Lytechinus pictus: one gene and its partner. The protein of the gene in region 1 binds, or shares a complex with, the protein of each later gene. Links are inferred from orthologs where the notes say so. Each region holds a gene or a part of one and is shown on either strand. Other genes may lie near its edges.

The links.
Region 2: the proteins of dehydrodolichyl diphosphate synthase complex subunit DHDDS-like (region 1) and dehydrodolichyl diphosphate synthase complex subunit nus1-like are in contact, whole or in part, in a crystal structure (PDB 7PAX), measured with the Homo sapiens proteins. The link is inferred for Lytechinus pictus from reciprocal best matches to the Homo sapiens genes DHDDS and NUS1. Residues at the interface, in NP_995583.1 of Homo sapiens: Arg37, Arg38, Glu81, Asn82, Lys84, Arg85, Arg159, His160, Ile162, Ser163, Val166, Arg167, Met169, Ala170, Trp171, Val173, Glu174, Pro180, Ser181, Ile183, Ser184, Glu185, Leu188, His199, Glu209, Val210, Arg211, Leu212, Ser213, Asp214; in NP_612468.1 of Homo sapiens: His137, Gln138, Pro193, Glu194, Lys197, Ala198, Ile200, Val201, Ala204, Gln205, Phe207, Cys208, Gln209, Val211, Ala212, Arg217, Pro218, Thr219, Leu221, Asp222, Val223, Leu226, Asp237, Pro246, Val247, Asp248, Ser249, Thr250, Leu251, Gly252.

What each region holds. Positions count from the first base shown.
Region 1 is NC_087248.1:11,205,105-11,217,274, reverse strand, and holds the start of dehydrodolichyl diphosphate synthase complex subunit DHDDS-like, read right to left. Parts: upstream 5,828-12,170; 5' UTR 5,053-5,827; coding exon 5,018-5,052; intron 4,096-5,017; coding exon 3,882-4,095; intron 1,322-3,881; coding exon 1,179-1,321; intron 1-1,178. Other genes in the region: PH-interacting protein-like, read left to right, coding at 5,900-5,948, 6,063-6,121, 6,210-6,239, 6,436-6,495, 9,367-9,517, 11,829-11,927. UniProt on the Homo sapiens protein: With NUS1, forms the dehydrodolichyl diphosphate synthase (DDS) complex, an essential component of the dolichol monophosphate (Dol-P) biosynthetic machinery.
Region 2 is NC_087248.1:4,385,925-4,399,035, reverse strand, and holds the start of dehydrodolichyl diphosphate synthase complex subunit nus1-like, read left to right. Parts: upstream 1-7,850; 5' UTR 7,851-7,937; coding exon 7,938-8,238; intron 8,239-9,551; coding exon 9,552-9,707; intron 9,708-10,448; coding exon 10,449-10,598; intron 10,599-11,187; coding exon 11,188-11,287; intron 11,288-12,282; coding exon 12,283-12,373; 3' UTR 12,374-13,111. Other genes in the region: tryptophan--tRNA ligase, mitochondrial-like, read right to left, coding at 2,180-2,431, 3,205-3,378. UniProt on the Homo sapiens protein: With DHDDS, forms the dehydrodolichyl diphosphate synthase (DDS) complex, an essential component of the dolichol monophosphate (Dol-P) biosynthetic machinery.

The DNA of each region.
Region 1 (12,170 bases):
CTATTATCAGAAAACACAATGAAAACATAGTATGGAACACAAAGTTTAACCATAACACAGGGATTATTTTCAAAAACATTCTCGGAGGCACATACAAAATCCAAAATCTAACCTTCAGGCAGATCTGTGCAAATTGACAGGGACAAGCTCCTGACATCACCTAACATACAGTGCACTCAGGACATGAGCTTTATCTTAAACATGAGCAAGGAGACTCACTTATTAACCTGTACATTTAACTATGCTCAATACAAAATTACATACCAACAAACAGACATACTCAGAAGGGATAAGATATTACATACTATTCCATTTTCTAAAAAAACAACAACACAGAAATAACAAGTCTCTTCACTGTAACCTTACAAGTGACACCTCCCCCCCCCCAAAAAAAAAAAAAAAAACCCATAGAAATGCCTCCTTCAACTTCAAGGATATTCCAGAAGACTGAAATGGCAGTTAAAGTATTTCACTACTGGTCTTTCATCATATAGATGGATTAGAAGATAACATTATTATTGGATTAAACCAAGAAGAAAGGGGGGGGGGGCAAAGATTATTAGCTTTTCTCTAACAGAGGTACAACGTATCACCTTCAAGCATTGACATACCATGCAATAGACTTGAACAATATCAGAGTAGACATCATAGTAGACTTGAATAATGAAAAATATGAATATTCAGAATAAAAAAATTGCATGCCAAAATGCTGAAGATGAGATGACACATAATTGAAAATTCTCAAATATACATTGTAATCCAGCATCAGAAATAATTGCTCATGTGACTAAATACAGGAGTACTTTGCTTAAACTATTAAGAGCTATTGTTAAGAGAAGTTTGTTGACCTTTGATCTGAATTGTGCCAAGCTATTTATCTCTTTCTCTCTCTCTCTCCCTCTCTCTCTCTTCCTCTTCCTATTGTCACTCTAATTGAATGCTACATACTTGTACATGGAGTACAAACCAAACATGAAACATACATTTCATGCAAAATGTAATTTAAAAAAAAGTATTTGCAACACTCCACCAATACTCCCAAATTTCCAAGATGTTGGTCAGATTGTTAATGTAATAAAAATATAATTTCTCTGATATAAATCTCATTATGTAAAAAAAAAAAGTTTGTACAATACGGTGAAAATCATAAGAAATAAACAAACAAAAATTGAACTTACTTTTCTTCTAATAATCTGAGAAATTTCTTTCTTGCCAATTCCATCAGTCCGTCCACTTCTTGCCTTGATCTCTTGAAGTTTTCTATACTGAATGCATAGACGGTGACTTCTGTAATACCTAGATCTAAACACCATTGTAGAGTCTGAAAATATACCGAAAACATATAATGTGTAGTAATTATAGCGTTTAATGATAATGTGTACTTCATTAAATGTTTTACAATATTTTTTTTTCACTTTACAATGAAATCAATCAATCAACATATCCCAATATTTTTATTTTTTTTAAGGGGGAGGGGGTCATTCTATTTTCACTTTATTTTTCATAGAATAATTCTCCCCTCTTAATGATGTTTTTGTAATGTGTATGAACCTCCAGTGCAATATTTAATCTTACTCTTATGTTCTTATTTGATTTTTTCGTAGGTATATATTCCTTTCAGTTTCATGTAGGCCTATTTTTCTTTTTTCTGTGAACTTTGTAATGTGTCAGTCTTCTGACTGTTTTTACAATGTCTTCATATAATAAACCGAATGGAAGTAAATTATCGAATCATGTCATGGGGTGTGTTTCATAAAGAGCTACAACTATTGAGATTTTGCCATTATTGTAACTAGGTAGTAGGTACCATGGAAAACTTGATTCGGATTGGCTGCTGAGCTCAGTTACCATGGTAATTGCTATTGAGGTTACCATAGTTCAAACTAAAAACAAAATGGGTCCCTAGTGTACCCCAAAGACCACACATGTAAGTTTCCCACTAAAATGATTATTCAGGAATTATCTTTTTCTTTAATGCAGCTATTTTTCAAGTAATCAAAGAGGTTTTATTGACTTGGAAACCAAGAATAAATAAAAGAATTATTTTTTAATGCAATCCCAATTTAGGCCTACCCTTAATGTTCCAAGTACTGTAGGCCTATTATTTTTATTGCATGAATTATAACAATTTGTAAAGTGAGTTGATAAATTCACAAGTGACTTTGCAGCCCACTATTAAAGAAATTGTACATGCAGACTCACACGCGCAGCTCTCTGTATCACTATTAACTTCTCTAAAATGATATTGTACATGAAATGATAATCAACACATTCACTTGGTAACTCCCCCAAACACACATGCTTTCTCTTTTAGTCATTCAGGAAATCCAGTGATAGCATGTGCACTTTAAAGGGACTGGGTGAAAGTCCACATTATCTATCTCTTAGTTTTCATTCATTCCAATTATAAGTAAACATTGTTTTCAAAGTTTCCCATTCTCTGTTGGTGAAAGTGACAGATCTATATTTTTATTGGGAAAAGTAAAAATCACATTATTTTAGGTTTTTATTGCATATTGGTCTATTGAGCATTTATTCATTTGGTAATTAAGAGAATGATCAGTAACAGTTTAAATATAATTTAAAAAAATCAACATTTTGGGTAATCAATGATCACATCTGACCAATATTCACATTTAAACATTCAATGAAGTTCTGTAAATTGTATTGCATTCTGGATGTTCCTTTCAGTGTTTTTTTTTTCAAAGGAAGTCAAGATATTTCTTCTATTAAATTACACTGTACATGCAAGAAAAGGGCTGTGAACACCACATGTAGTACAGATGCATAATTATGCCTGTTATTATTAGATTGAGTGTGAAGAAGAATGGTTGGTGATTCTTTCATTCCCCCTCTACTAATATTCTGCATGATATTATAGAAGGGGGGGGGGGTGGACTGCCCCTCTACCATTTTCAAAGAGAGTACCAAAGTGATGACGTCACAAAAAAACTTTTTTTTTTAGCATTTCAGTGCTTTGATACTATATTTTTTGAGAGCATGATGAAAAACCCCCACTACCAAAATTTGGCTGGAATCGGTCCATGGGGGCCTGAGAAATGACCTCATGAATACATTGACTTCAATGGGGCTAATTACATGTACTGTATGTATTCATGAGGACATTTCTCAGAACTTCAGAAGAGTGTAAAAAAAAAAGAAGTCTGGAAAACTGGGACATGAAAAGAATAGCGCATGTCATTCTTACATGTCTCAAGTGGGGTAAAAAAAAGATGTTACTTTCAGGTTACCTTGCCCCGCCCCACCCCCCCCCCCCCCATCAAGGTACCATGGTATCAACCATGTACTTGAGGGTTTCCTAAAACATAATTTTCCCACCCTATACTTTGAATACAAAAGAAGACATATCCGGAAAGACTGATCTAGCAAACACTGGGTTTGCATATCCCTACACCTTTGTTTGGTTCACCTGTTACCAGAAAGTATCAATGGAAGAATGGACATTTAACCAATTGCGTACTGAATTATTGCGTCGCCATACTATAGACTGGACATCGAGACATGCAGCTGATAGGAAGTACTGATTTTTTTTTCTTCACTGAAGATAGCCAAACATATTTCCAGTGACCCTCCTGTCTAGAATACATTTTTGAAGCTTAAAAATTTCTGCACAATTTCTTTGGAATTTTTTTTTTTTTCATTTATAATATAGAGAATGCAAATATAAAGATCAATAATAAGATCAACTGCATATAACAAAGATATTCCTTTTTCTTCAAGCTGCCTTCATGTAGGCTTACAATTACACTACAATGGCTAGGCTGGCAATTTGCATCTTCCGGAGAAAGTGCAATATCATTATTAACTTGCAAAAGATTTATAAAAAAAACGTGCTTAAATTTTTTGGATTTCACTCTCACCTCCGCTAATTTCTCAAAACCAAGTGAATGCCCATCTAGGGTCTGAAAAGACTTCTTCTTAGCAAATCTGCGATTGCCATCCATGATGAAGGCTACATGCTGAGGCACGGGACCACACTTGAGGACCCGCAGACAGAAGGACTGGAACCATGTCTTCTGGGCCTGGTACTGCTTCTCTGGGAACCATTCTGAAGTAGCTGCTGATGCCTCGATCCTGCAATATAATGAAAAATTTGATTTGATCTAGCCCAGTCTAGAAAAAGAATTTTAAAACTTTTTTTACAATAAGCCATGATTGGGTGAGATCTACATGTAATAAAATGTGAAACATATTGAAAAGGGTAATTCCAGGACTTGATAAAGGGGACCATAATATTCTGGATCTGGATGTATACGATGCAGGGCCCTCCTGGGCATAAACGCATCATCGGGTGACTTGACCTGAATTTTGCCTGGACCGGCGGGTGCAACACACCGGCTGAACACCGTACTCTTTGTCACTTTGACTAGTATTGGTTTTAACGTGCATAGCTAGGTTGTGACTCTCCTATACACGGGACCAATATTTGCATCCTTTCCTACATGTATGCCATGGATGGAGTGTTTTCCAACTACATTCACACCTGCACTGAATACACAATGCTATACTATACTAGTTTTACTACTGTCTATTAGCATCAGATATTTTTTTTACTTTTAGACGCGTTTTAGCATGAGCGGGACGAAGTACGATCATATCTGAAACATGCGCTCTAACCGACCAAGCTACGCTCATAATTTCATAATTTGTTTAAAACCTGATAACTGATAAACTATTCTAAAAACATGAAAAAGTGAAGCCAAGCAGCATAACGTTACTAAGTCGTTAGATTATCTAAGTTAGATCTAGGCCTACACAGTATTGCCTAACTTTAAAGTCTCACTCTAAGTTAGACCTACATGTAGATCTAACTGTCACTGTCTCACTCTCACAAGTCTCAGTCTATTCACATCACCATCACATTCTCAGTCACAGTTCATAAAAAAAAATTCTAGATAATTTTTTTTATTAAAAAAAAAATAATGGCCTAAAATAAATATTGTATTATTATTTATCTAGCTCTTAAAAGAATTAAGTTAGATTTAATAATACTCACCAATGTTCATTAGACTTTCTAAGTTCTGGATCCATGTTACATTATCCAACTCATTAAGGTGAGGTAATTATTCTCCCACTCCCAAGACAGGGCCCTAACCTAAGCGTAACTCGACAATCCAAACACCCGGGACTTTCGGCAAGCAAGCACGTCGAGTTATGGTCGGCGTCGAGCGGTGAAGATCTGATGCAAGACTCGGTGCCACATCGGAGGTTCTAATTCAGGTACCGTAGCACCTAGCTGCATGCACGGGGTTTCGTCGAAAGTCGCTCGCTGAAGTTTCGGCGAAAAATGTTACTGCAAAATCGTTCTCGTGCATCTAGCTAGCGCAGTATGCCGCACAGAACACATGTGTATGGCTTCTCATACGTTACACACACACTTCATATCACACATGCACTGGAAAGTATCGAGCCTGTATGGCGTTGCCCACGTTGCACACATACGTTCAAGACACTGGCAATTTCAATGCATGCAATTCAGTGCATTATGCATGCATTCAATCAAGTCAAAGGTCAGGGAGAGCGGATGAATCATTGACCACAAAATTCTGGACTTTTCTAACTCTAGATTATTTTTTATACAAAGGAGTAATTTAAAGAATATCATAATTGAGTTCTATCCTATTAGGTTGAGTATTTACACTGTCATATCCAGATATTTTCTCACAAAAATGAGATATTTAACGAGCTATATTAGCATTGCGCACTGATACTATGCAAACGCTCGACTAAGTACAGTGCAGGAGCAGCAGGAACAAGGCCGGGAATTTTTACGGTGTTTATTGCGAGGTTGTGAAACACATGTATCTCTTCTGACAAAAAATTATAATTATCTGCTTGTTTTCCATTCGTTTCCTTTCTTGACAGACCATGTTTAGATATGGCTGAAGAGAATGTAGGAAGGGTAAACGACAGTACTGCTGAATCAGGTAATATTTTGCTGTCATTTTCCTCGGGTGCTGTTCACTATTTTATCCGCGCCTTCGCAGCGAAGTGTAACGACAACAAATCTAACGACCCAATTTCTCTCAATTTGTCCACAGAATTGTACTTCTTAATTGCCAAATTTCTGGAAAATGGACCCTGCAAAGAGTCAGCCAATGTAAGTATTACGTCTTCTTAAACATCTCTTGTGTATTTTTTGTGATTTTTCATCAGTTAATATCGTATATTTTCCTTGTCTTTGGCAGGTTCTCCGACGAGAGATCGAGCAAAATGGGGTGAGTGCATTTCATTCGTTTGTGTTTGATGCATGATGACTCGTTTTTGAAAGTGAATTTCGGCCGAAAATTCAACATTTCTTTGGATTTCGACGTCTACATTATAATTTGAATTGATAGAATGTTAGAATAATAGTTGTTTTAAATAATTGAATTAGAAATGATTAATAGAAATTGTTTATCTCCATTTTCTCAGTTATTTTCTGCCAGATTTGATTGGAAAGGCAACCAACATCGACAGAGCATCAAAAACTTGGTAAGAGATGTGAAAAACTTTTTCTATTGGATTTAATTTTTGAATTTCCCTCTAAAATCGTCAAATTTGTTAAATGTGAAAATTTGTGGATAGTTGGTTGTCAAATGGGTGTAGCAATCATTTGATACCAATAATAGGACTCACTTTCCATTTTTTCCCGAAAAAATCAGAAAAATACGTCTGAAAATAGCTTCTTTCCCATCCCCATGAAACGCAGGCATAGGCAAGTGATTTGCATAATGGATCGAGCAACCTGACCCCCCTAGCTATGACATCATTGTATGTGTGATCACCAAGCCAATCAGAGAGCCTGTAAGGGTTGTGAGGTGGCCACCTCATAGTGTTTGCAAAATGAGCTATGATTGGATGAGCTAAAATGCATATTCATAAGGGATTGTTTGCACACGGCACTGAGTTGTGTGCAGTGTGCATCTTCATGTTTTCAATTTCGGTGAAGTGTGTTGAATTGAGGAAACCTTTGGAGAGAGTCTGCTTGTGTCGTGAATGTGTACCCATTTGAGTACAAGAAAATGCGCTGACTTGAGTGATAATGACAACACTATACTAGTACTAGTTACCAATAATAATAATAATTAACAATGACGATGATGGTTATATTATAATAATAAAAGCAATAATTTAGTAATAATAATAATATGATAGTAATAATTTAATGATTAACATGATAATGAATGATATAGTAATAATGATAATTATTTAAATTATGCATAAGTAACTGGTACAAATTAGTACTACTACTACTACTTCTGCTGCTTCTACAACTACTACTATACTTCTACTACTACTGAACTACAACTACTTCTATGACTACTAAGACTAACTGCTGCTACTTTACTACAAGTGCTACAAAGATGCATAGGCTATATGATAAAAGAATAATTTGGTATTTATTATGATGAGGATAAATATGTTAATGAATACATGCATGCTAGTATATTATTTTGTTTTTCTTCCAATAAGTAAAATTACAATGCCCTTCTTGTATATAAACATCAAGTAATAAAATGAATAGGCCTATCGATTATGAGTATGTGACATCCACATTGATTTTCTCGGCTCACTTATTTTTGGGATTGAAATTCCAGAAGAGAAATCTATTTAAAACATGCCTTAACTACTTCAACATTTCATGTCCATTTGTGTTATAAAAAGGTGATTGTAAAAATAAATAGGTGATTCAAAAAACTCATTAGATATGGTAATTTATACACCATGATGTTTTCATAGTTATAATTTCAACTGATTTTTTTTCAGTGGGGGATCACACGTATCTAGTAGAGCTGCAGATGTTTCCCCAAATTCTACACAAATAAAAAATATTGTCAATTATTATTTGAATGCAAATTCATGAAGAGTTTCATTCAAAGACTGCACCAAATAATTTTTATATTTTGTAGAATTATGTATTATATTTTTTTCAGTAGAAATTTACTTTATTTCATCTTGAACAACATGATGTGTTCTTTATGTTTGTTATTGAAGTATACAGTACAATATTGTTTTCTTACATCTTACAAGGTTTTCCTCGAAAGAAGGGCATTTTATAATATAAGTTTATTATTATAATGTTGTAGAGCTCTATGAGTTTCACTAAACTTCTGCACAGAATTTTGATATTTTGCTGTTCTTTTTGCTTAGTTATGTTACAGGGCAAGTTATCCCAAACGATAAAGAATAAATTTTTTATTTCATAAATTCAAAATATAGAAAATTTGAATATGGAATTAAAAAGGCTGAGGAGATGAATAGCAGTATTTTGTCAAAACTCGCTATTCACAAAATCAATATTTTCCAAGTTTACACAACTTTATACAAAATTTATGTTGAGGGGAGGCTTGATATAATTAAAGGGCAAGTCCACCCCAACAGAAAATTGATTTGAATAAAAAGAGAAAAATCCAACAAGCATAACACCGAAAATTTCATTAAAGTTGAATGTAAAATAAGAAAGTTATGACATCTTAAAGTTTTTTTTATTTTACAAAACAGTTATATGTACATCCTAGACGGTATGCAAGTGAGGAGACTGATGACGTCATCCACTCACTATTCCTTTTGTATTCTATTGTATGAAATATTCAAATTTTTCTCATTGTCAAGTGAAACAACTTTGATTTCTACTCTGATCATGTGGAATTAGCATTGTTTAATACTATATGGTTCAGTCAAGTTTGTCCTTATTGTCAAATGTGTAAAAAATGAAATATTGTATAATTCACACAATAAAAAACAAAAGAAATAGTGAAGGACATCACCGACTTTCTCATTTGCATGTCACTGAAATGTGCATATCACTGTTTTGTGAAAAATAAGCAAAACTTCAAAATGTCATAACTTTCTTATTTTACATTAGATTTTGATGAAATTTTCAGCGTTATGCTAGTTTGATTTGTCTGTATTGATTAAAATCACCATTTTGCTGGGGTGGACTTGACCTTTAACTATAAAAGTAATGAAGATGATGAGTAGAAAGGGGAGTATGGTGATGATGAAAGATGGTGATGATGATGAAAGATGGTGATGATGGTGATAATGATGATGATGATGACGATGATGGTGATGATGATGATGATGATGGTGATGGTGATGATGATGATGACGATGATGATGATGATGATGATGATGATGGTGATAATTTTAATAAATGATATGTGGAGGAGTAGGAGGGATGGGAGAGGAGGAGTCACTGTCCACAGAATAAATGTTGTCACCAATGTAGCTTTAGTCATGATGACTCCAAAAGACGTAAGCAATTCAAATGTCTTTCAGGAACTTATCATCCATTGAAACGGAAATTTCAGTGCATTTATTAGGTCCACTAGAATTTTCTTCATCTAAATTTGTTTTCAGGAAAATTGCAACGGTCACATTAAGAATGATCATCTGTTGAAAATTGTTGGTCGTATCGGACATCTCCTGGACAAAGATGTGAAGCCAAGAGTGCATGGTGTAAAGTCACTGCTAGGGGGCGCTAGACAATCCCTTCTACGCACAGCAGCAGGTAAGAAGCTGCTTTGTTTGTTTTTCATTCTAACTTCTTAATCAAAGGTATCCCTTTATGATTTATCAGTTAAAAGCCTCTTTTTAAGTTTTTTTAAATCCCTCCAAAAAAGTTGCCATTTGAAATAAATGAATATTTTACAATATGTGAAACAAAACCTGATTTTTAGGGGTGGTTTTCTGAGATCCATTTTATCTCAGATAAAATTAAATATTTTATCTCTGTTAACATCAGTGAGATAAAATACCCTTAAAATCTCCTCGAATTGGTATTCTGAGAACAATTTTATCTTCATTTTATGGGGTTAATTCACCTAGAAATATTGGTGAAATCAACGCCGCAGAGATAAAATAGCCCCTACCCTCTTTTAAGTCTATTTTATTTTTTCTTCAACATGGGCGCAAGCACACATCCGCGTTGCAATGGCCAGATACGCGATGGGTATGTCTACGCAGGCACTGTTCTTTTGCGTATTCCTTATATAGATACGCAAGATAAAATTTATACGCAAGATATATAATTGTGAATTTTATCTGAGAGATAAAATGTTATCTCAGAATACCAATTTCATTTTAAGAGATAAAATAAAATATTTTAAAGATAAAATGACCTCAGAATACCGCCCCAGGGTTTTTGTCTCGCCTGCATAGCACAGCGAGACTATAAGCGCCGCTTTTCCGATGGCGGTGGCGTCAACATCAAATCTTAATTAACCGAAGGTTAAGTTTTTGAAATGATATCAAACTTGGACATAAGGTTAATCAAGTATTACTGAATATCATGCTTGAGATTCAGGTCACATGACCAAGGTCAAATGTCATTTAGGGTCAATGAACATAGTATTTCATTATCATATGAATTGTGGGGTTTTTGTAAATAAGTATTCAATAGTTGTTTTTCAATGTCAGCACTGCTGCTATATTGAATGGCGTAATGCAGGCGAGCAATGGCCAGATATGGGATGGGTATGTCTACGCAGGCACTGTTCTGTTGCGTATTCTTCTATAGATACGCAAGATAAAATTGTGAATTTTATCTGAGAGATAAAATGTTATCTCAGAATACCAATTTCATTTTAAGAGATAAAATAAAATATTTTAAAGATAAAATGACCTAAGAATACCGCCCCAGGGTTTTTTGTCTCGCCTGCATAGCACAGCGAGACTAGGCGCCGCTTTTCCGATGGCGGTGGCGTCAGCATCAATCTTAATTAACTGAAGGTTGAGTTTTTGAAATGATATCAAACTTGGACATAAGGTTAATCAAGTATTACTGAATATCATGCTTGAGATTCAGGTCACATGACCAAGGTCAAATGTCATTTAGGGTCAATGAACATAGTATTTCATTATCATATGAATTGTGGGTTTTTTTGTAAATAAGTATTCAATAGTTGTTTTTCAATGTCAGCACTGCTGCTATATTGAATGGCGTAATGCAGGCGAGACTGCCAAAGGCGTTCCACTTGTTGACTGTTAAACGCCAAGCAGGCATATAACCTAGGAAACATCAAAATCTTAACCGAAGGTTAAGTTTTTGATATGTCATCATAACTTCGGAAGTTGATGGATCTAGTCCATAAAACTTAGACATAAGAGTAATCAAGTATTACTAAACATCACGTGTGAGTTTCAGGTCACATGATCAAGGTCAAAGGTCATTTTGGGTCAATGAACTTTGGCCAAGTTGAGGTATTTGTTGAATTATTATTATAACTTAAAGTTTATGGATCTAGTCCATAAAACTTGGACATGAGAGTAATCAAGGATCCCTGAACATCCCCTGCAAGTTTCAGGTCACATGACCAAGGTCAAAGGTCATTTAAGGTCAATGAACTTTGGCCATGTTAGGGGTATTTGTTAAATTACCATCAGAACTCTGAAAGTTTATGGATCTAGTCCATAAAACTTGGACATGAGAGTAATCAAGGATCCCTGAACATCCCCTGGAAGTTTCGGGTCACATGACCACGGTCAAAGGTAATTTAAGGTCGATGAACTTTGGCCATGTTGGCGGTATTTGTTTAATTACCATTTATTTATGGATATATTTTATGAAATGTGGACATATGGATAATAAAGTATCACTGACAAGACTTGGATCACATGATCAAGGTCAAATGTCATTTAGGGTAAATGAACGTAGTATTATATCATATGAATGGTGTTTTTTGTGAATACATGTAGTTATTCTATATTAGTTTTCAAAGTCAGCACTGCTGCTATATTCAGTTTCATAATGCAGGTGAGACCGCCAGAGGCGCTCCACTTGTTTTATTTTTCTCACAATATAACATTTTTTTATACCCTAGATGTGAAGCCCCCTCTATGGAGTCCGTCTGTACATGCAGCACTTTACCACCAACGGCCCATAGCTCCACCAAATAAACTTTCTCAGGTGCCAAATGTCTGTGAGTATCAATGCTTTTCATTTAAATCATCTGTAGCAATAATTCAGCAGGCATCGTATTTTGAATCTGATCTGTGATATTATAATGCAAATTAATTATTGTTGTTCGTTTTTAAAAAGCACAACTGGAGTTGTAGTGAGCAGAAATTTGAGAAAAAAGCTTTTAAATCCTTGTCCAGCTCAACAGGAGTTGTGTGCAGAGAGAGAAAATTTTGAAGTCATTGTTTGATTATTGTACCAACAT
Region 2 (13,111 bases), about 6.8 Mb from region 1:
TCAGAATTTGACCCCCCCCCACCTCTCCATGTAGCTTTATGTTACTATACTGATCATACAGTATTTCCAGGGGTGGATCCAGTGCTGTTGACCTGGGGGGGGGGAGGGGGAAACATTTACCCCCCCCCCCCTGCCATGAAAAGTAAAAGGTCATCCCCATACAAGCAATTGCTACTTAAGGATTGATAATTGAAAACAAACAAACAAATACATAAATAAATAAATATATAAGTGAATAATAAATAAAAACTGGGAGGGGTTCAGGAAGATATGGTGGTGGTGTAGGCCCCCTCACACCCTAGATCCACCCCCAATGTGTGTATAGCAAACACTTTAAGAATAAGCATAAAATCTTGAAAATATAGTAAGTAGAGTACTTTGAACATGATCACTACTAGTTTTTTACCTTCCTGACACAAGTGCAGCATTAAAATAAATGTTTACATTTTGGATTGGATGTAATTTGTGGCCTCTCAAAACTGCCTGCTAAAATCACTGATTACATGAAAGGCTGGTACATGGTACATTTGTACTTTATCATGAACAAAGAATTTACAAAGAACACCTGCATGAAAGTAAACATTTTACTTCCCTTTCTATACCACCAACTCTTTTAAATGCAAGACTGATGTTGGTTTACTTTTAACTCACATATATGTTTAAAATTTACAGTTCAAAGTGTAAAACACAATAATCTGTAGAAACTCGCAGATGTGAATTGTAGTTAGTTTACTCTTGACTCACATACTGGTACAAATTTAGATTCAGAAGTGCACACACCTACATGTATATAGTATTCTAGACTGAATGTTTACCAGCAAAGATTATCTTCTATTGTAAGTGTTATAAATTTGGTATCAAACTAAATGGCAATTCATGCATTTTCCTGACTCAAAACATTCATTGCACTTATAAAACTTTATTCATAGTGTAATTCTTTTTCTTCTGAAACCCCAATACAGTATATGGGCAAAGATTTATGTTCAATTGCAAGATCAAGTTTTTGTTACTACCTCACCAAAATGTTTCTCTATTTAAAGATGAATAGAACACTATCTACAGCGTGAAACACAAACAGCTTTTTTTTTTTTTTTTACTTCAAATAGCTATATAATTATGGTTATATCATTCAAGACCAGAAAAAAATATTATGAGCATCTGATTTTTTCCCCATAATTCTACTTTAACAGTGTACCAGTACATCATAAAATCTACTGCATTTCCATTTAAGGTTCCCAGTGTTGCCATGACAAATTTGATATTACATAAAACAGCATACATGTATCTTACAGCCTCTAATAATTACTGTAAAAACAATTCAATAAACTTTGTAGTCACTCCCTGTACTGTATGTCACAAATTTTCTTCCAAGGACACAATGAACAAACTAAAAATTAAAAAAAAATCTTCAAGCTACAATAAATCAAAGTTTAGCAATCACAAAATGAACTTTGATTAGAAAATTATTTATTAGCACAATAAGCAAGGCATCATGTCATTGGATGAATCTTTTCCAAGAATACCCTTGCTTATAAATGTGTGCTAATTTGCAATATGATTTCAATCAAAAGCCTATAAGTGTCAAATGCATGGCTCAACTCTCATTTGAAGATAAGTGCCAGACTGACCGAACCTCAAAATAACAATATATGTACATTACATGTTTGTTTTTCCATTGTTATTCAATGGTCAGATGTGACTCTTAATCAGCACCAGGGCCAAATTACATGGGGGCTCAGGGCGATTTCACCCCCAAGATACTCTGAAGAGCCATGGAAACTAAAAAGGGAGCCCTTGAAAAATCCCCACCCATTGCAATGCTTATCCAATGTTACAGATTTAGGCGGGAAGCTTACCAGCTGGTCTCATTCCGTTTCAATACTGAACTCAGTGGCCAGCGTAATTAACCCAAAAATTGGTGGGGCAAGACTTTATATATGGGGCAAATTTCTGAAAATTGCTGTGAGCGAGTGAAGTGAGCGAGCACAATTTTTCTACCCCTTTGATATAAAAATCTAATTTTTGTAATAATTTTATTCCAATTTCCTTTCTTTTTCTTTCATCTTTTCCCTTTTTTTAGTTGTGAAATTTTTTGGGGTCCATGAACACCCAAGTCCCTCCCCCTCACCATCTGTATGCCAGTGACTGAACTCCAAAAGTTAAAGAGAGTTAGACTTACACTTGACTGCTGGAAGAGAATACTTTTATCAGGGTCGATCCCACAGGCAAGGAGAACAGCAGCAGAGGTAAGGATACTCTCCCTTAACTCCTTGGGATCCTGGGGGAGAGTGATGGAATGAAGATCCACTATACTCAGGATCATCTCAGTATTCTCCTCTTCCTGGAGCTGGATCCAGTTCTGGATAGCTCCAAGGTAGTTGCCAATGTGTGGCACCCCAGTAGGCTGGATCCCAGAGAAAATGCGCTTTTCCTGAGGAAGAGAACAAATTATAAATTTAAAAGAAATATACCGGTAGAACATTTTATTTTTTTCTTTGTTTATTTTCATAAAGAGAACAGACTAGATGAATGCACTCTGTATGGATTTTCAGTAGTGGATTCAGTGTTTCTTAGCACTCTAGGAGAGCAAAAAAAAATTCTTCAAAAATTTTCTGACAGGCGAAAAAAAAGGTGGGGGAGGGGCCAGCAGGTCATTTTGTTTTTTAAAATAAACTTTTCTGTTGTTTAAAATAAACTCACTCATTTCCTTCCACTGGGATTTTTTAATTGGAGATCCCTACTAGGCCCAGTAATTATTGTAAATAGAACCTCTATTATTATTTTTTCATTGAAGTCCTGTTAAAAAAAGTATATTTCAATAGTCACCAATGAATATTCATGATATAACTTTTTCAATATCAATCCCATTGAAAATAATTCGGAGAAAAACATTTTCCATTTGGTAGCTATTTTATTTATACAGATCTAATTGATGATCATCTGACTGAAATTGATAATTCCGACCCTATATCTACATTCGATTTAACATAAGATTTCATTTAAGAAACTACAAGTTTTAAAAATAATTGTTGTTGTTTTTAACTTATTACCCCAACCTTAGAGTAGAATCTGAGCAATGGGATAACCCAATGGTCACAACAAATGACACAAATTAATTATGCGAACTCCTGCCATCAACATGAAATTATTAACTTCTTGAAAAATCTATTCTAATTTCTAGCTAAGCCTAAGTCTAAGACTTACCTTTGTCATGTTCATCAGAACTTTGACTGATAAATTTGAACTTTGATGAAATCCCTTGCCCTGTCCCTGTATCCAAAAATTAGGTCTTCGAGAAACTGATGCATAAGAAATACACTTCTTCATGTTCAGTGCTTTAATTCTAAGTGATGTCAGTGATGATGGATTGAGCGCCATGATCGATGCACTGTTCCACTTTTCAGCGGATTCCTTCTTGTCAACCACCCGGGCTCACTGGCGTGGGATCGCTGGCTCCCGCTAGTGAAATATCGTAGCTCGCACAGCACTCAGAGTCAAACCTCTACTTTGTTGACAAGCTAGTGGAACGGCACTCACACAATTTGTGAAGAGAAATGAATTTACTGGTGTGGTACAATCTATAATTATGCAGCTTCTGTATTTTTTCACCAAACTTCTGAAGATCTTAGGCCTCACTAACTCAGCGCAGCTCAATTACGCCCGCTGCTGCTGTCGTGTGCTGCTGTCTGCTTGAATATTGCAGTGACGCAATATTACTGAAAATACAGTCCATAACAATGATACTCATGATGTATGGTATCTTACAATATTTTTTTTTCGCGTTTTCTTCATCAGAATAATTGTTCTTAAATTCGCAAAATAAACAACCGGATTCGCGACTCGCGTAGGCCTAAATAGGCACTGGCGTATTGGGGGGGGGGGGGGGAGGGGGGGGGGGTGCTCTGGCCCCCAATCTTTCACGACCAAGAAAAAGGATATTAGAAAAGAAAAGGAAAGTTGAGTGTGGTATTATCAGTGTTCGATAATAATCATGACCAGGGGTGGATCAAGCTTTCGCCAATAGGGGGGGGGGGGGGGGGGCGCGATTTTTAAAACCATAATTTCCTAGAACAGCCGCTAAAATTTGTTTGTTTCTTTGAAGGGGCAGTCCTAACAGACACTAGAGCCATATGAATTTGTTGTGTTCACTTAACGCGCACCGTGGCAAATCCCCTATTCCGGCGTCAAAAACTTGACAAAATAGACCAATTTTCGGCTCTTTTAACTCATATCTCAAAAACCGCTCGAGATTTTTCACGGGTTCAAACGGTTTCTTAATCTTAGACTTGTTCTACATCTCATGATATCTGTCATTTTATATTCTGATTAAAAAAACAACCGTGTTTTTTTGACTGAAAATACACAGTTTCTCGTGTTTATGTGTGAGAGAAGCACTTTTTGCACGGTTTTGGGCTCGATCTTCTCTTACAGCGTCTGACTTTCGTATCAAAATTTCTCAGTTCAACGATCGACTATCAGATAGACAGGTTGTAACTCTTTCTTGTGATATAAGGTTCAACCTAATTGGTTGAAAAAAACCGCCGTGTTTTTTAGGTCAAACTTTACAATCCAATGAACTTGTTTTGTATTTATCACGCATAATCTACGTTAATTGATTAGTCGCACTGCGCATTGTCTATTTTAGTATGCCTATCAACTCTTTATATTCTTTCCTCTCCTATCAAAAATTGAAAGGGGGTACAATATCCTCGTCCTAGATATAAGAAGAAGAAGAGAACATTTCCTTTTCATTACATGTAAAATCATGTCCATTCTTGAAAAAAAAATTCGTCACTTCTAGGTTAAACTTTACAATGCAATTAACTTTTTTGTTCTTATCATGCACAATATCCATTAATTGGTCGCACTGTGCTCGATTGGATTTTGGTATACGATGTTCAACCTGGCAGCAGCGCGTTTTGCGTTAGATTTGGAAATCCTCGTTCCCAGACAGGGATATGTAACATGTAAGCTTTTCATACATATAAAATTCATATTGATTGATCATTTAGCTCCGTCAATTTTCACGTTAAATCATGCTTGTCTCATTTTAAGAAGCCAAATCCAGGGATGAATAATGTGTGCATACCGGTGCATATACGTATACGTGCAGAGCATGAACGGTGTATACACCACACAATACGCCGAATACCTTTCTATGCAATAATCACGTACACACACAATGCGCGCAGTAGTAAACAACGCGTCGCTAAGACAACTGAACCTGAACTCGGGAGTACATCGAGGGAAGGAGTACAGAATCAGAGAAAATTATTCTCACTTTTTGGTCAGAAGAAAACATTTCCTTACATGTCTATATCTTAACATAAACAGAAGCTGCTCCGTTATCCTTATGTCGTACCACAGTCAATATCATAAACAAATTACAGTGATTCTATTTTGTCACAATTAATAAACTTAATTAGGGCAATTTATGCACCCCCAAGAAGTAGTGTTTACGGCCCGGCCTATCTCTACCACACAGACCACACAGACTTCGCACAGTTCGGTCAAGGCGGTACGCGTATCATTAACTGCCAAATACAGCCGACCCAAGCTGAATAAAACCTTCATATTAGGTGAACAAAATAGGGGGTAACAAATTCATATGTTATTCTTTTAAACTAACATAGGCCTATTGATAATCTCATAAGCCCTATATAGTGCGAACCCGAAGCGTGAGCTAAAATTTTCAAGATACGTATGTAAATAAATAATTACTGCTCGCGCAAAGCGCGAGCAAAAAAAAAAAAAAAACATTCTAGCCTGATCGAAAAGGGACCTGTTAAGGAATGTTTGCACCTAGTTAGCCATGAAGACAATACATATTTGAACAATCAAACAATGCGAGCGCGAGCTGAAAAGTTTTTTTTTTCCAAGGCTTTCTCTCATCTCATTTTATTCACTCGTCTTCCTCCTCTTATTTTCTTTTTCTTTTTCTCCTCTCTTTAAATTTTTTCTTTCTTTCCCCCTTTTTTCTTCTTTTTTTTTTGGCTCCGCGAATAAGGGGGCCGGGCCGGCCCCCTGCCCACTGGATCCGCCCATGCATGACTATAAAAAAAAATAAACAATCAATTTTATTAATCGATCACAAAATTAAATTAGGTTTTCATTTTTTTTTACTAATCTCCCCATGCCATGTACACTTTGCTCTATAGATTACTTATTAAAAAAAATATATACACCCGAAGAATTGTTACTTAAAGAGGGGGCAATTAAAACTTCACTTTTTTCTAGGTGATGGATTTTCAAAACGTGACACAACTGGGAACTGAAGGTATGGGGCTCTTAAGGGTCAACCATGCTCTGATCTGAATATCATTCAGTGGGGTCAATGTAGGATCATTGTCAAAAAAGGGCACGGAGATGATTGTATGGGGGCGGGGGGGGGGGGGGTGGATCATAATGACTCCTCATGAGTCATGATCCTTTACCCCGCCGGCCAGCATTTGCAGAGAGAGGGTGAGGGATTAGATTCACATCAAAATTCAAATTTTATTTCATTTTGTCTCCACCGTGAATCCGGGCTAAGTCCACACGAAGAATTGCAGTAACATAATGAGATTCGGGATTGAGATAAACTGGATTCATCGGAGGGGTGCCCATATTCTTCATTGTTTACAATTACATCTACAGCATCTTCAATTCCTGAGTGGGATACTCAACATGCAGATATAGGCTGCAAAAGAACATGAACCCTGGGGCGCGACCTGTATGAATATAGTCTACAATAATGTAGAAAATAGAGCCCAATCACTCTATATACAGAGGCGTATGTCGATTAAGGGGGCAAGGGCGGTCGACCCCATGAAAATATTGCCGGGGGCAAATAAACATAGGCCTATCGATTTGCCCCAACAATAATTTAGACAACTTGAAAATTTTAAGTAGGCCTATGCACTGCAAAAATAGTTCAAAAAGGTTCGGAAAGCACTATAAAAGGCTTAAAATAAAACTTAAACTGTGACATGTCAATTTTTTGCGCCTGTGTGGCGTTTGGTCACTCCATTTATTTCACTCATCATCTACGCGACAGCGAAATGCTAAAAGATTTTATTTTTATTACTTACAGGGTGCGTATCTCTCATTGAAATAAAGCCCGAAGCGGCAAAGAAATATCATTATCTTTGCCTTGAAAATTGGATATTCAGTCCTATATTGAATCGGATGTAGGCCTATCTCATTACACGTACAACGCGATTTAATAGTGGCCTGAATTTTTTTGCATTTTCCGACAGTTTTACTCCTTTCCTTATTATTCACTTTTTTCCCCTCTTATCTTTCTTTTTCTTATTTTTCCTCCTCTCCTTGTTTTTTCTGCTTTCTGCTTTGCTCCCTATCATCACTGGCGGTCTCCCTCGATCGTCTCCCTGAACCTATCATTCACGGGGGGGGGGGGGGGGGTGACAGGTGTATGATGGCTTCATCCACCACCTGAATAGTATGACACCATGGAATTACGCCCATGACGAAAACAGTATGAGTATCCAAACCATAGAGATATACACTAAGTAATAATGTATTTTTATGAGCCAAACTCAATCCATTTTTGTTCCCGCGCTTAGCGCTCGCATTTATTCTTTTTTAAAAGTTATTTGTATTATATTCATGGATGACTTCGCGACATCCCCTCCATTCATAGAACGAAGTATCCCAGGTCGGTCATATGCACCGCAGTGGTGGTAATATTTCTCGACATCACGCCATGATAGTAACACGAATATGAGGCGGAAAACTCCGAAAACTTAAAAAAAAAAAAAAAAAAAATCCTCCGATACCGCGGATTTTTCAGTCAAATCTAAGAGATACCGTAGGTTCAATGTTTCTTATCTTGGTCGGTTACTTCAGTTGAAATGGGCCACGTTAAGCGTTCGGTTTGATGTTTAGAAAACCCAGTGCAAATTAGACCAAAAACAAGAGGTCTTTATCGAAAAAGTATGGCTTTGGACTTTTGTCACACTGCTTTGCTGCATTTTGTGCATATCGTGTTATGGGTTCGTCTTTATTTGTGGACTCGTTTAACGAGATTTATTTCCAAACACATCGGGTTGTGCATTGGAGAGCAACGTAAACTTTCCGCTGAAAGATGCCGCATCGACTCAAAGAATCTTCCCAAACTTCCATTACACATCGGTCTGCAGATCCTGGAAAGTCGGATTTCAGACGAAGATGTCGCTAATCTACTGGTGTGGTGCATAGCCATGGGATTTCAATATGTTTCTCTGTTTGATGATGAAGGTGAACATTCAACATGCAAATATAATTAATACTATAATAGCCATAATCATAATAATATTATAATAAAATTTGATTAACACTAAATACCGGTACCGGTACTAATTATAATAACAGTAACACTAACAAGTCAATACGGGTAAGGCCTACCACTCACACTGTCTATGACTATGGCAAGTTCCCCCAAGTCTGCGCAGTCCCCCTTGTCTGCGCGATTCTATTAAAAGAAGATATGCAACGAACACAGACTTTACACATGCAATACATAGACGGGTATTCATAAAAAAATTTGACTCAAAATAGTGGAAAAATAATGAATTTAGGGCATTTTATGTGACGGCCTCAGAATGCAGCCTTTCTCATCAAAATCCCTGAATTGTGTGCAAAGTGAATGAGTGCACAGACATGGGGTACCATTTTTTTTTTCAATCTGAAAATGACAGGTTTTTTCAAGAAAATCTTATATTTCATTTTTCAATGAAAAATTTGGTAGGGCCTACACTTATGATAATACAAAGAACATTATTAACTGAAAGATTTTGTGACATAAGAAGAAATTCATGTTAAATCTTAACTCAAATTGTTAGGTGCGCAGACTTGGGGCCCACCATTATTTTATAACTTTTAGTTTTACAAGTTACGGGCTCACTTTTAAACATTTTAAAATTAAAGTCACCAAAATGATAAGGGAATCATTAAAATTCAGCGTAGGCTGAGGTAAATTTTTACAAAAAAAAACAAAAGTTGCAATCGTCAATTTTGTTCTCTATAATTAATATTCTGTACTAAACATTGTTGAGAATTTGCTCGATAACTTTTCCAAATGGTTGTTTAAAATTGATTGTCTGGACACGGTCCTACACACAACCTGTCCGTACACACAACGACTGGGCCGGGTACCGTATACTGGTGACTTTGTATTGCTTGATTCTGTGATCTAGATTTTGATACTTTTTTTTTAAAGGTTATGTTGTGATGTCCTTTAAATTGTCTATTTCATTACATTTACAAAATTGCTATGTTTATCCATCACCATTTCTGCGCTTCATGATGCTCCTTCCAGTGGCTCACTTTATTCATCATCCCAGTATAGCTTCTGTATGAGCTGCCAAAGGGATTACTACATCAAGTATTAGTGCCTATATATTGTAGCTCTGGATATTTGTCTGGTAGTAGTGGTCATGGTGATTGAGTTTAACTTAAAAATATTGAAAGTATTCAAAAGCTAATAATGACAAAATATGATAGCCAGAAAAAACCAAACAAAGAATCTCTGATAATTGATTTGATATTATTTTTTAAAAACACTATTGCAGGTTACTTCAAGAAAAACCCTTCAAAACTGAGAGATGTGATGCAGAAAAAGATGGCAACAATTTCAGAGAGTAACCGCCTTGTCTTCCATATTGAGACACCAGTGAGAAATGGAGAAAGAAGTTATAAAGTCACTACCACCAAAGAAACTTTACAAGGTATGTCTGACCATTCTGGATTTAAGTCAATTTTTACTTTGGCCACTTTTTTCACTGCTAAGTTGTAAGCTGTTCCTTTCCTAATTGTAGTTTGCTTTTTAAAGTTGGTGTGTGTATCTGTGTGCTTAGGTATGATTCAAAGTAAAAACCTAAATTTCTTTCAGTGAGATTGAAGTGCTGTTAGATGTAGGAATACAGTATATTCTACAAAATTTGGACTTCAGTTGTGGTAAAATGTTCTTTCATGATGCTAAACATAAAGGCTATTGATAAAATTAATGGACATATCTGCTGATACTGGTTCTGTTAACAGGTGGTATTTGAATTTGTTCTGATTAAGTAGCCACTGAACTCCTTCCACTTATCTTGCTGCATTATTAATTTCAAAAATAGATTTAAGCAATGGTTTCTTTGAAAAAAAAATTGAAATATATTTTATATGAAAGTAGAATTAGAAAACTAATGAACCCTATTCATCATTACAGATTTTTATTACTTTCTTGAGATGTTGAAAGTGATAGCAATATGCAGTGTAAATATTTTTGGAATGTTGACATTATCATCACAGTCTCAATTTGGCATAATTTACAACACTTGATGAAGATCGCTTGAAAAGATGATTCTCCTTTAACTCATTTCAGCATTTGCAAATCTATGAAAATTGGCAGTCAAACATCTTTCAAAATGTCCTATTATGCTCTTGCCAAATCCATGACACTTGGTTATATTTTTCATTTGCAGATACTAAAAGTACTCGGATAGCCCTTATGTCTTGTGAAGATGGACGGGGGGATATCTTGGAATCTGCCAGGAAACTATGTCAAGATGTAGCAGACAACAGATACAGAGCATCAGAAATAGGCATTACCAATTTAGACCAAGTCATGAATTGTAAGTTAAACTTAAATATCCCATTTATTTTGTTTTTACACATAAATCTGCAACTACATGTATTTTTTGACTTTGGGTAAAGTTATGGGTTAGCCACCATCAGCATTCAATCACAAAAAAAACTGAATAGCAACTGACATTTACCATAATGGCTAAGCCTACATGTATAAAGTGACAGGAAAAATAAATTGGTAATTTCAAAATCTAGTGAATCAACATTAACCTGTAGTCTTTATAAGTTGCATAGATTCTATAAATACTTGTCTACTGACAGAATGCCTCCTTAATTGGTTTTGTTAAAATGAGCAATTACTTATTTACAACCAAAATTTCTGGCAATTTTTTTTTTATTCCTACTGTGCACACTCTTTAATAGGTAGTTATGTTGGTTTTAGTTGAAATTTATTTTGCAAGAATTGCAAATTTTAACAGCTATTCATCTTTAATGTAAAATTTGCACCCAACTTTCTATATCCACACAAAGTGTTATTGAACTCTGAGCATGCAGTCTAACTTTTGTCTGATTTTCTGAAATGTGTTCTCGTAGTTTTCCTTTCCTTTCATGATTCATTACTTTTTCATATTTCAGCATTACTAGATTATCCCAACCCAGATCTTATCATTCAGTTTGGACAAGTTAATAGTTTACTTGGATATTCACCATGGAAAATTAGAGTTACAGAAATATTGTAAGTATGATGTTCTAAGTTGCATGAAATGTATTATACTGGGAGAGTAGGGGATTTTTTGTGATACTCTAAAGTTAGTGAACCACACCATGAAATGCACTCCTTCATGCCGATTGTTGACAACAACACTGCAATTTTTATTGATACTAAATGTAATATTTTATCATCTGACTTCATAATTAAATATCTAAAACATGGCAGAACTTGAACACTTTAAATAAGTTTTTTTTTCTGTTTGGGTTCGTTAAGTTATGAGCACAACTGTAGTCTTTAAAAACTACCATTCACTGCAGTCATTAAAATAAGAAATTCATTGTGCAATTTCATCCTCAATGCTTCAGTAGAATTGTGGAACATTTCTGCTCGTTTTCGTAATTCATTATAATATTGATGCTCAAAACCTATTTAGAAAGCTTTATTAAATGGGAATTATAATGGAGCAATGTTTTGATCTGGTTGGACTTGCTCAGCAAGGTAAGTGTAGTCCATGTATTTTGACCAGTGCCGAGTTGATATGGCCGAATACATCGGTTCCCAGTCATTTTGATTTTTGTATACCACTGTACTGAAGAAAGATAAATCAATCTCGAGGCCTTACAACATAAAACATTTTGATGGATTGCAAATATATGAAAGAACACTGCTGTTTTGTTCTCGGTCAGTGTTTTAAACAAAATGTGCATGGTACATTGATTTTGATTGGTCAGTCCATTTAGCGATTGATCCCTAATCTTGATGTTACAGAGCCCTGGTTTAAATACCACTATTAAAAAAGTTAACATATTGAATGGGAAAACCTTAAATTATAGTCTCTAGAATCAAAATATTGAAAGACAATGAGTGCAGGATTTCTCAATATTCTTGCTTGAATTTATCAGCCTAAATAACAACATTATCATGTTTAATGATGTGTGTTTATAAATGAAAAATGAAACATGATTTTGAACCGAGCGTAAAATAAACCAAATTCTGCTGTTTTATATTCCATTTTACAGGTCTGTTCCAACACATCATGGAATGAATTACCAAAGTTTCATCGACGTACTCCACTCCTATTCCAAAACACAACAGAGATATGGCAAGTAATGCAGCCCTCCCTTAAAAGATTTTTCCATGAAATACTTTAATATATATATTTTTGGAATAATGTGTACTATACATGTAAGTTAAGAGTATGAGAGAAGCTTGGTTATATATGTAAATGGATTAATTGATATGTCTTTGTAATGAACTGCCATATGAATGTTGATTGTTTTTATGATTTTTATACTTTTTCAGTGATTTAATTAAATCTTTGAAATCTTGGTATTCTTTGTGCTACATTTATTTTTGTACATGCCAGGAGCATGTAATATTCAAATTGGTTTAGATGCAAGATCCAAATACTCTTACATGTATATTAGAGTCTGCGTATGGAATAGTATGCATGAGTAAATGTGAAATGTTTTGTAACTTGTTTGCATTTGGACCATGTCTTTTACCAGAAATGAATAAAGTATGATAGCAAAGTATCTTTTGCATAGTATTCAGATCTGCTAGTATAATTCTATTTTTCCACTCACATAGAAGCTTTTTGTTTGACCTGACTAGACATATTACAATATATTTCTGTATGTACCGTAAATGAAAGTGGGTCAATATTAATAGCGCATTACCATTCACTGTTTGGTGAAGGTAGTGTACATGCGGATGTCCATTTATTAAATAGGATATAAGATAAGGAAAGAACATGGAAACAATTCATCCAAAGTGGAATTCTTCTGATATCTTACTTCATATTGATTCCAGGCATTTGATTATGTCTAATATCAAAGTACATGTACT